Sus scrofa: one gene and its partners. The protein of the gene in region 2 interacts with the protein of the main gene of each other region in a biochemical or structural test. Links are inferred from orthologs where the notes say so. Each region holds a gene or a part of one and is shown on either strand. Other genes may lie near its edges.

Region 1 (4,417 bases), on a different chromosome or scaffold from region 2:
CCTAAGATCGTGGGTCACAGGTGAAAAACCTGGCCCTGGATCTGCCAAGAGGGCTCAGGCCAAATAAAAGGCATAGCACAATGTTTAAAAGCATTCCTGAACAGGGAAGCCAATTTCAATTCTATAAGTAACAAAAAAGGTCAAAGAATTTGTCCTGAGCACTTAAGAATAGTAAGATTAAAACTGGAAATTGGAATTGGGAGTTTTCCTGGTGGCGCAGTGGGTTAAGGATCTGGCAATGGCACTGGCACTGACGTGGCTCAAGTTGCTACTGTGGCATGGATTCCTGGCCCCAGAACTTCCATGGCCAAAAAATAAACATTTCCCCCCGCCCCAGAAATAAATGATTTGTGTTGCCACCAAGGGACACTAATTTACCAATTAGCTACTTCAGAATATATATAAAAAAGTAATGACCTATACTGAGAAAATATCAAGAGGATAAAGGTCAATTGAGGGACACAGCTTTCAAAGCTGGAGCTATGACCAACTAATTGGGAGGCAGTGGGGGTTGGTATAAAGGCCCTACACCCTGGCTCCAAGCTCACCTTGACCAGCTTGTCCCAGCCACAGGAAACAATAATGGGATTGCTGCTGTTGGGTGAGAAGCGGACACAAGACACCCACTCTGAGTGGCTCTCATCCTGCAAAGGATGGAAGGAAAATAAGATACTAAGCAACTCTAGATCACCAACCCTTCCCTCAGTTACAGGGATATATTTTGATAGCCTTGTGTTCACACCCCCAGAACCCAAACCCTCAATCAAGATTGACAGAATTGCTTTAGATCCCCAAAGAGGCTTGAAATCACCACATAAAGCCAAAAGGATGGGAGAAAATGTTCAACATGTGTTCCCTGCGTGTGCCCTCACTTTACCTGGACAGTGTATTTGCACACACCCAGAGTATTCCATAGCTTGATGGTTTTATCTCGGGAGCCAGAGACAATTTGTCGGTTGTCAGAGGAGAAGGCCACACTCAGCACATCCTTAGTATGGCCTACAAATCGGCGCGTGGTGGTGCCCCTGAGAGGGAGGACTTGGTTACACTATGGATGGACTTTGCAAATATTCTCCCAGTCATAACTGTTTCCCTAGGCTGGTTCCTGTCCCAATGGAGCTGCACTACTCACACAACCCTGGACATGGTTTGGTAACAGCAGGCCCTTGGCTGGAATATGCAAGAGAATCCCTTCAGAATTGCAGGACATGTCCTCATTCCCATGTGGGGATTGGCTGACAATGTCATTGGTCATCACCAGGATCCTCCATTATGCCTGACCAACCAAAGACTGAGCTCCCAATATACAACAGGTTCAAACTGTTGCCCACTCCCTAGTGCAGTACCTGAAAAAACTGCTCAACCAAACCACTTCACAGAAATTTTGCATAATAACAAATAAGGAGGCAGGCCAAACAACCAGAACTCTTTTCCAGATATTCTCTTACACAGTGAACCTGATCTCTCCTGGGAAACTACTTCCAGAAAGTATCTACCTCATTTCTACCCAGCTTTCCCCCAATGCCCCCAAACAGGTACTTGCGTTGTGAGATCCCAGAGGCGAAGGGTTCCATCCCAGGAGCCCGAGAGGGCAAACTGGCCATCTGAGGAGATGACCACGTCACTAACAAAGTGGGAGTGACCCCGAAGAGCACGCTGTGGGATTCCATAATTGGTCTCATCTCTGGTCAGCTTCCACATGATGATGGTCTTGTCTAAGAGGAGGTAAAAAAAAAAACAGAGGAAAGCCACTGAGAAATCCCGCAGCCCATCTTCTGACCTACTAGATAATCCAGGATACCTCAAGGTGATTGACGGGCTCACAAGTTAAGTACATTAAAGGGGTAGGGGAACTACAGGTTATGAAAGCAGTTCCCAGTCAGGGCCAAATGGTCAAGAGTGAAAAAGCTATGAGAATTTAACTCAGGTGTTTGGAACTTTTCCAGATTATGGATGCCTTTTACAGATATTCGCACCAACTCAACGTCTATTTCAAGTTTTTTTCTGAGTTCTAATGGATGGGTACAGCACTCTAGGTGAGAGAAAACTAGCTGTGAGCCTCCAGAGACTACTGCTGGGGCCTCCAGAAGTTCTGAAATTAGAAGTCACTTTAGGCTCTACAGGACTGGGTTCTTTCACTTCAATGCGTTCTACTCAACAAACTTTCTGATTAAAACCCCAAACGCAGTCATATACAAAGAGAATGAGGAAAAACCGAGGGCAAAATCGGCACACGTTGACATTGCAATCACTCCACTTCCAACCGAGTAGAGGGCCGGGCGGCAGCTCAGAAACAGCCTCTGGGTTTCAGCATGGGCACTCAGATGGCATGTTGGAATCATCACCGCCCCGTCCGGCCCCGAGGCTCCTGGGCACACATCCACTTAGATAAGTCGGCCAGAGATTTAAAAGAAGTCCCCAACCCCCTCCTGGCAGCTACTGGGTGGTCTATGTTTCGCAGTCTGCAAAGTGGGGACGCCTCAAGGGTTTAACCACGCTGAGGCCTTACGCACGGGTCAGCTCACACCCTAACCGAATTTTCAGGGCCGCTACTTGGCGGTCTACTGGCCCAGCCATACAACGTGCGCAATCCCCTACTCCCGTATCCTCTACACCGCACCTCAGTCCGTACCTCGAGAAGCGGACAGTATCATGTCCGGGAACTGGGGAGTGGTAGCAATCTGGGTCACCCAGCCGTTATGGCCCTTGAGGGTGCCACGGAGAGTCATCTGTTCAGTCATGGCGGCAGCAGATGCAGATGTCGCCGGAGCGACGAGGATGGTACCGGATAGCTCAGAGAGACGACCTGCACGGCCTCTCACGCCGAGGCCCGGCTGAGGAAAAGACCGAGCAGTGGCATGCCGGAACCGGAAATACCCTCCCTCTCCGGAAAAATGGTGCCCTCCCACAATGCACTCCTGCTCAAGATGGCGGCACTACATAGTGCCCGGGAGGAAGCAAAATAAGACCTGATGGTTCCCTGCTCCGCGCGACCTAATTTGGCAGCACTGTAAAAATGAATTCCAAAACCGACACGCCAGAGTATTTTAAAAGGCTCCTCAAAGGTTGATTAGGGAATGATGTCTAAAAAGCGGAAGACGGGAAGTGCTCGCCCCATTCCCGTAAGGATAGCCTAGCGCCTTCGCTTCCCGTAGGTCGCACCGCGCGAACCCCGCCCCTTCCGCTTCGTGGCTCTGAGAGCAACACAGAGGGCGTTTAATATCGAGGCCGCAACTGTGAGTAACGGTGGGCAATGTAAAAAATCCGGTGTTAAGTTTTAAAAATAAACTGTGCTAAGGTGAACTATTAAACTCTAACAGATATACATGCGCGGGGGACGACTCTTCTCTGGAGAGGTTTATGCTCTGATGTTTTTGGCTGAGGAACTCCATGCCCAGAAAGACTGAGTTCAGCCAGGACTAAGGCAGAAATGGGTTATGGAGCGGAAAACCGAGGATGAAGGAAAAATCCTTATGTGGGCTGCTGGGCAGTCACCCCACTCCTGCCTCGGCAAGAGCGCGGAGAGCTCTCGCGGAAACTGAGCGGTCCTAAGAGGAAGGACCTGTGGGTTCTGACTTAATGTGGGCTCGGGTCAAAACCAGCTCCTGGCCAAGCCACCTCATGGAAGGGCCGTGGGTCTGGGGCGGGGGGGGGGGGCGGTGGTCCTAGGCGTGCCCAAGTATTTCCTGTTTGTAACTTGTATTAACTTAATTTCTTATCAGTCAAACGAGTTTGGGAGTAATAGTACCTACCTCCTAAGGTATTGTGGAGAGTAAATGAGTTAAGACAGGTAAAATGCCCAAAAAAGTGGCTGGCAGAGTGAATGCGCCCAACTTAACATTTGAGTACCAGACTCTTTATTTTAGATCTTGGGGATATATCTCTGAAGAGGAAGAAAGGGACCAGGTTTAGTTTGTTTTTAAGTTTACAGTCAATGCGCTGGAGAGAAGAGAGCTTGAAGGGGAGACTTTAACAAAGACAGGAAGATCTGGGAGAGAACCCCGTGGATTTATGATGATGTAATGTCCCAGTCAATGGTTACATATAGAGAAAGTCGGAGGGAAGGGTCAGTGATAAAAGTCCTGAGCTGGAGCGTTGGAAGCGCTTAGGACGGAGGGTCGGAATAATGAGATGGAGGTGGGGCGGGGGAGCTGACAGAGGGCCTTGCAGGCTGGGGGAAGGACCGCGGAAACCCCAACCAGAAAGCCTGCCTTTGAGAAGGAAGGCAGGGGTAATGGCGAAGCTGCTGTTGGCTGTGGCCGCTCAGGTGTGCAAAGAGGGCCGGAATTTCCTCGCTTGAGAGCAGCTACTCTCCTGCTGCCCCTGCAGACCCCTGCTTTCCTCTGCAGCCACGTTCGGGCTCGGAAGGGTGCAGTCTTTGTTAAGCTCCTCCACAGCCTGACAACTATCCTCCCAG
Region 2 (2,566 bases):
CAAACAGGTCGGCCAACATATCATTCTTCAAATCTGTGCCTGATAACTACATAGGTACTATCTTTGAGTTTAAAAAGAAGACAAAAAACTCATAACTGAATCTCATCTAATAATCCCATATAATCTTAAATGAACAAAAGTGGCAACATATCTTAATTCAATTGATATGGCCAGTGAAGAACTGCCATAAACTTCTACTTAATTAAAGGCTCTGTGGGAGACCATTTATGTATATACAGCTATACCTCTTTATAATGCTGAAGTAGAGAAAAAGAATAAGTACGTATTTACTTGAATTACAAGTCAAGTTGTTCCATCAGGCTTTTTAATAAATAAGGTAAATTAGGTTTTAGAGTGTTTTGCATGGGAAATGTGAATTAATATAAATTTCAAACTGTGGTATGATCTTGCACCATTTATTAGAGGTCTGTTATAGTTTATTCATATATACCTTGGTATATAAGATATTTGTCCCACTTAACATAAAAATAACAACAAAAAATCCCTTTCAGCTTTCTGCAATTATTTACCTCAACCAATCTAGTTGAGAAGAAGATATTCTGGCAAACTACAAATAATGGTAATCAGAGATGTATTTTCTAAGTACAGATTTTTCATTTTTAAACTATTAAAACTGTAAAACAATATAATGTTTCTTTAATAAAACTCACAGACATATTTTAAATTCTCATAGTAGAGAAGGGTCATTATTTTGACAACCAATTAAAATACCTAACTTTAAAAATTTTTACTATTTCAGTGATTTGAAATAGTGATTTGAATCAGGTTATCTATGACTATTTACGACTGCACGTAAATAGACATGTACCTAAAATGTTTAATGTTTAAGGTTAACAATGTTGCCTTTAGCTAATTACAATGGCTATCTGGGACACAGAGTGCTTCAGTTCCAGGAAATGCAGCAGGAACTATCACTTTAGGATTAGGCTGTATCAAGCTTTAAGGATTTTATAAGAAGATAATATTAAAAGTACAGTACACTATTCACAAGACTCACAAATGCTGACATGACAAAGGCACAAAATCTCACATTTTATGTTCTTTTGCTATTAAATTACAAGGAACAACTCAACAAGCTTCAAAAGAATCAAAGATTTACTAAAACGCCAAATTAGGTAACAAGGTCTCTTATGTCATCTACGTTGTTTTGTGTGATGTACATACCATCAATACTACGGAAATCCAATAAGTACGTCCTACTATCCACTTGGTATAATTGTAGACTCATTTTGGAGTATGTACTTGTCACAGGATTCTTCCTTCGAACACGCAAATAATATGGATTTACAACCTAGCATATGGCATGGACAAAAACAAAGTCAAAAGCAATTTTTCTATAAAGCATCTCACAGACTAAAGGTTTGACTAAATGTGCTAACAACAGCAGAATGCTCGTTCTTACCTTCCACTCATAATCCAGTTGTTTAATTGCTCTACAAACTTCTGCCATGATATCATTGGGTCGACTTTGACTTCTAATTCCCAAATGCCATTTTGCTTTCCTTACACCTTGGTGTTTGGATTTTTGTGGATTTAATTCATCAAGGGTATGGCGTGCCCTTGGAGTTTCAGCAACCAAAAACGGTACTCTTTCAGGATGGGGCCGAGTCAAATGGTGATCATCAAGAAAAGAATCAGGTGGGCTTGTTGCCAAGTAAAAATCTTTGGCCTCATTCATTATTCTCCTGTTATCTATTATAAGGTGGTAGGCAACTGCCAAAGGGTCCTGGTGATTTCTGTTATAAAGGCAGCTGAGAACCTCCTCTTCTGAGCATTCAAATTTTTCACATACTTCTTTTAAGGCTTCATCATCAATCATGGTTGAACTATACGATGGATCCTCAGGAAAGAGATATTTTGGAAGGTCCTGTTTAAACCATTCATGTTCCCTGAGAGAAAATGTCAGAGGTCACGAGAAGGATTTTGAGGAGAGATGAGACTAAAAGCCACAATTTGAGGATTTAGGATATGAATTCATTTATAGTTATACTCATACTGTATTATCACTTTTTAAAACTGAGATTTTCCTCTTCAGGATCACATTTCATTGTATATATTGGGAGAAATGCTCCAGCCTTCCTCTGATTTTAAAAGGGAGAAAACACTGCTGTAGCAACCAAAAAAGTGTCTACACTTTTATTTAAAGTTTTGGAACAGATGGTAATGATAAACAAATGGCAAAGATCATCTTACATCCAGCTTCTTTATAATACTCTTTGAATGTAATATTAAGATATTAAGTGAAAAAAATACATAACAAAAAAAGACAACTATTATTCATTGAGTGCTTGGTATGTGCACTTCAACACTTCATAACATCATCTCACCTCTTTTTTTTTTAACTCTTTTTTTTTTTTTTTGTCTTTTCTAGGGGCATATGGAGGGTCCCAGGCTAGGGGGTCTAATCAGAGCTGTAGCCGCCAGCCTACACCAGAGTCACAGCAACCTGAGATCCGAGCTGTGTCTGTGACCTACATCACAGCTCACAGCAATGCCAGATCCTTAACCCACTGAGCAAGGCCAGGGATTGAACCCAAAACCTCAT
Region 3 (3,654 bases), on a different chromosome or scaffold from region 2:
GATTTTCGTCTCCTAAGTGTTCAATACTGAGAGATTCAGTTGAAGCAAATACTAAATGGGCACTTTCCAATCAAAGCCATCTAATGGCAAATCAATTCTTATTAGATTTTACAGGCAAAGTATGACTGTGCTCTTTCATTATCATAATTAATTTATCTACTTAATGATTAATTCTGTGTATATGGATATATTTTTCTTTGCAAAATTTAAGAATTTTTTTATTGTTAAAGTAATTTTTCACAAAATTATTAATGAATCAATTATTTATATTTTATTGACTTGAACAGTAATTTTATTCAACAGTTTCTATAAGACTGCATGAAAAATTTAGGACCAAGATTTTCTTTTTTTTTTTTTTGTCTTTTCTAGCGCCTCACCCACGGCATATGGAGGTTCCCAGGCTAGGGGTCTAATCAGAGTTGTTGCTGCCAGCCTATGCCAGAGCCACAGCAACATAGGATCTGAGCCGCTTCTGCAACCTACACCGTAGCTCACAGCAATGCCAGATCCTTTACCCACTGAATGAGGCCAGGGATTGAACCCACAAGCCCATGGTTCCTAGTCCAATTCATTAACCACTGAGCTACGATGGGAACTCCAGGAACAAGGTTTTATTAAAAGATTTTTTTTTTTTTTTAATTGAAGCAGTTGTTTCATAAGATTGTGTTAGTTTCAGGAATACAGCAAAGTGATTGAATATATGCATATATATTATTTTTTTCTATTTTTTTTCATTGTAGGTTATCAGAAGTTCCCTGTAAGGCCAAGATTTTAATCTCAAGTTTCACTGCCTTTGATTCCATCTTTTATTAAAAACAAACAAACAAACAAAAAAAACTTTCACAGTATATAATTGGGTGTTTGAGTATAATTTTATTCCCATTTTGGAGTATGAAAAAATAATTACTACTTTCAGGATACTGTAACATAAAATAAGTAAAGCCATGCCAGTGTAATATTCATTGTAAAGAGAAATATTTATAAATTTGAGAAGATACTAAGCTAGGTGAACATAAAACAATTTTCATTACCTTTACATAAAAATTCATGCAGAGTCACCTAATATATCATTACTTCTAAATATACTTGTCTACTGTTCATTGACATCTTCTAACTTCCTATTTTCCTTTTAGACTTTGAAGCTGTCAAGCCGTGTTCTAGATAAAATAAGTATTGGACAACTTGTTAGTCTCCTTTCCAACAACCTGAACAAGTTTGATGAAGTATGTACCTACTGATTTAATCTTTTATGCATCTTTGTTATAAATCATGCAACCTCAAAGATTTTCCTGGGTCAGATAACAGTAATTAAGTAGTTGGGTCATAAGCATCCCCACCTTCCCTGTTTTTGAAAACTGAGAAGGCTAAATTCTGTAGCAGAGTGCCATTCTGGGGTCTCACAGACCCACCCAGTTCAAGGGCACCTCAGCTGGCTTTGTATTTAGTGCGGTTTTCAAAATTCAATCCTTATCAGATCTTACTTCCTTTTAATGCTTTAAATTAATTATTTACTTTGGCTGAGGAAGATACTCTGAGTAACTCTTGTTCAGCGCTGCCTTTTGTCGCAATAAAATACAAGATCTTTGAAGACAGATTCTGTGTTTTATTTATCGTCACATTTCCAGGATTTAATGCAATATTGAACCCTTCAGCAGGTGTTAAGTAAATTACTGTTGAATGGCGCATGCGTGTGCGAATATACTGTCTGATGACAAGAGTTGTGCCATTGTGTGGACTGAACTCCTGGAGAGTTTTTGTTCTCTCATGTTCTGTGTCATGGCTCTTAACTTTATCCAAATAGAAGTAAACTATTTAAAATAAATTCTTGACATGATACTTCAGATAGCCATTCACCACACAGTTCCTCTGAAAAAAAATCACGGCAACTTGAATTTTGTTTTTTGGGGAACTCGTAGCCCCTGCGTGGAATGTTTCAGCACATTGCTGTGTGCTCCAGTCATGAATAGCCACATTTTAGTGCATTCAGAACCATGAAGTGCTTGTTTGTGTGACCTCGCTGTGCTTGATTTCTTTCTTGGAGGCTTGTTTTGGGCTTTGTGTTGGGAGTGGAGGATGAATTGACGGTGCATTTCACCGTGACTTTATTTTTCAGGGACTTGCCTTGGCGCACTTCGTGTGGATCGCTCCTCTGCAAGTGACGCTGCTGATGGGGCTGCTGTGGGAGTTGTTGCAGGCCTCCGCCTTCTGTGGACTTGCCTTCCTCGTAGTCCTCGCCCTCTTTCAAGCTGGGTTGGGGAAAATGATGATGAAGTACAGGTAGCACTCTGTTTACTTAGCTTGAAAGGGTTTAGACATTCCGTTTTCCCAAAGCCCACTTTAGTAAAACCAGAACTGCTCTATGTACTGAACTGTCATCTACTTCTTGGGTGCCACAAAAAAGGAATTATTTTCATGATGTAAATAGTATTTCCTTTTTTTTTTTTTTTTTTGTCTTTTTGTCTTTTCTAGGGCTGCACCCATGGCATATGGAGAATTCCCAGGCTAGGGGTCGAATCGGAGTTGTAGCTGCTGACCTACGCCAGAGCCATGGCAATGCAGGATTCGAGCCGCGTCTGTGACCTACACCACAGCTCACAGCAATGCCAGATCCTTAACCCACTAAGTGAGGCCAGGGATCAAACCTGCAACCTCATGGTTCCTTGTCGGATGCGTTAACCACTGAGCCACAACGGGAACTCCCCCTTAAATAGTATTTCTGTGTCGTATCGGTGGGACATTTTCTTTTCTTATCGGTCTGTAGAATTTCTTTATGAATACGTTACTATCCAGTTCCCTTTTTTTTCACATCAAAGATTTAGGTACAATGGAGTTCCCATTGTGGCACCGTGGTTAACGAATCCAACTAGGAACCATGAGGTTGTGGGTTCGATCCCTGGCCTTGCTCAGTGGGTTAAGGAACTGGTGTTGCCGTGAGCTGTGGTGTAGGTTGCAGACATGACTCAGATCCTGTGTTGCTGTGGCTCTGGTGAAGGCCGGTGGCTACAGCTCCAATTAGACCCCTAGCCTGGGAACCTCCATATGCCGAGGGAGTGGCTCAAGAAAAGGCAAAAAGACATTAAAAAAAAAAAAAAAAAAAGGCTTAGGTACAATGGATAAAACACTTAAGTGAATGGAAGGGAACGCATATATTTTGGGTAGAGTTTATAGACTGTTTCTATACTCTGGCTCCGGAGTCATCACAGCAGAACCTTAGTTGCTTTTTGTTACAAAATGAATCAGTAATACTAATTACTGCCTGTGAAAGAGGACTTCTACAGTTTGCCAGATTGAGTAAGATAGAAAGTGTATAGATTTTGGAATCAGATGGTTCAAAGCTTGAATCCCAATTGCACGCTTTCTAGTTAGATGACCTGTGTCAAGCTACTTCAGCCACTGTTTCTGGGTTTTTTTTTTCTGTCTTTAAAATGGAGGTAATTATCTCCTTTAGCTGTAGGAAGGATTAGGCCTAGTGTGTGAAATGCATCTCATGCAGTGCCTGGCATGTAGGAGGCATTTATTAAATGACACTTACAATTTTTGTTACTATTTATTTGATATCCATCTGTTTCATAGAAGAAAGGAGGCTTGTCTTAAAAGCTTGGGCCTTTCTTAGTGGACAGTTTGGCTGGTTTGTACTAAGTTGTTTAATTGGAG

The links.
Region 1: of the proteins of PRKAA1 (region 2) and RACK1, one has a biochemical effect on the other in vitro, tested with the Homo sapiens proteins (2 studies listed by BioGRID). The link is inferred for Sus scrofa from reciprocal best matches to the Homo sapiens genes PRKAA1 and RACK1.
Region 3: the proteins of PRKAA1 (region 2) and CFTR form a complex in vitro, tested with the Homo sapiens proteins (2 studies listed by BioGRID, with this or other methods). The link is inferred for Sus scrofa from reciprocal best matches to the Homo sapiens genes PRKAA1 and CFTR.

The regions. Positions count from the first base shown.
Region 1 is NC_010444.4:57,278,603-57,283,019, reverse strand, and holds the start of RACK1 (receptor of activated protein C kinase 1), read right to left. Parts: upstream 2,829-4,417; 5' UTR 2,742-2,828; coding exon 2,633-2,741; intron 1,716-2,632; coding exon 1,544-1,715; intron 1,026-1,543; coding exon 878-1,025; intron 645-877; coding exon 549-644; intron 2-548; coding exon 1-1. UniProt on the Homo sapiens protein: Scaffolding protein involved in the recruitment, assembly and/or regulation of a variety of signaling molecules. Interacts with a wide variety of proteins and plays a role in many cellular processes.
Region 2 is NC_010458.4:25,750,041-25,752,606, forward strand, and holds part of PRKAA1 (5'-AMP-activated protein kinase catalytic subunit alpha-1), read right to left. Parts: intron 1,911-2,566; coding exon 1,424-1,910; intron 1,313-1,423; coding exon 1,186-1,312; intron 1-1,185. UniProt on the Homo sapiens protein: Catalytic subunit of AMP-activated protein kinase (AMPK), an energy sensor protein kinase that plays a key role in regulating cellular energy metabolism.
Region 3 is NC_010460.4:28,759,059-28,762,712, reverse strand, and holds part of CFTR (cystic fibrosis transmembrane conductance regulator), read left to right. Parts: intron 1-1,133; coding exon 1,134-1,223; intron 1,224-2,113; coding exon 2,114-2,277; intron 2,278-3,654. UniProt on the Homo sapiens protein: Epithelial ion channel that plays an important role in the regulation of epithelial ion and water transport and fluid homeostasis. Mediates the transport of chloride ions across the cell membrane.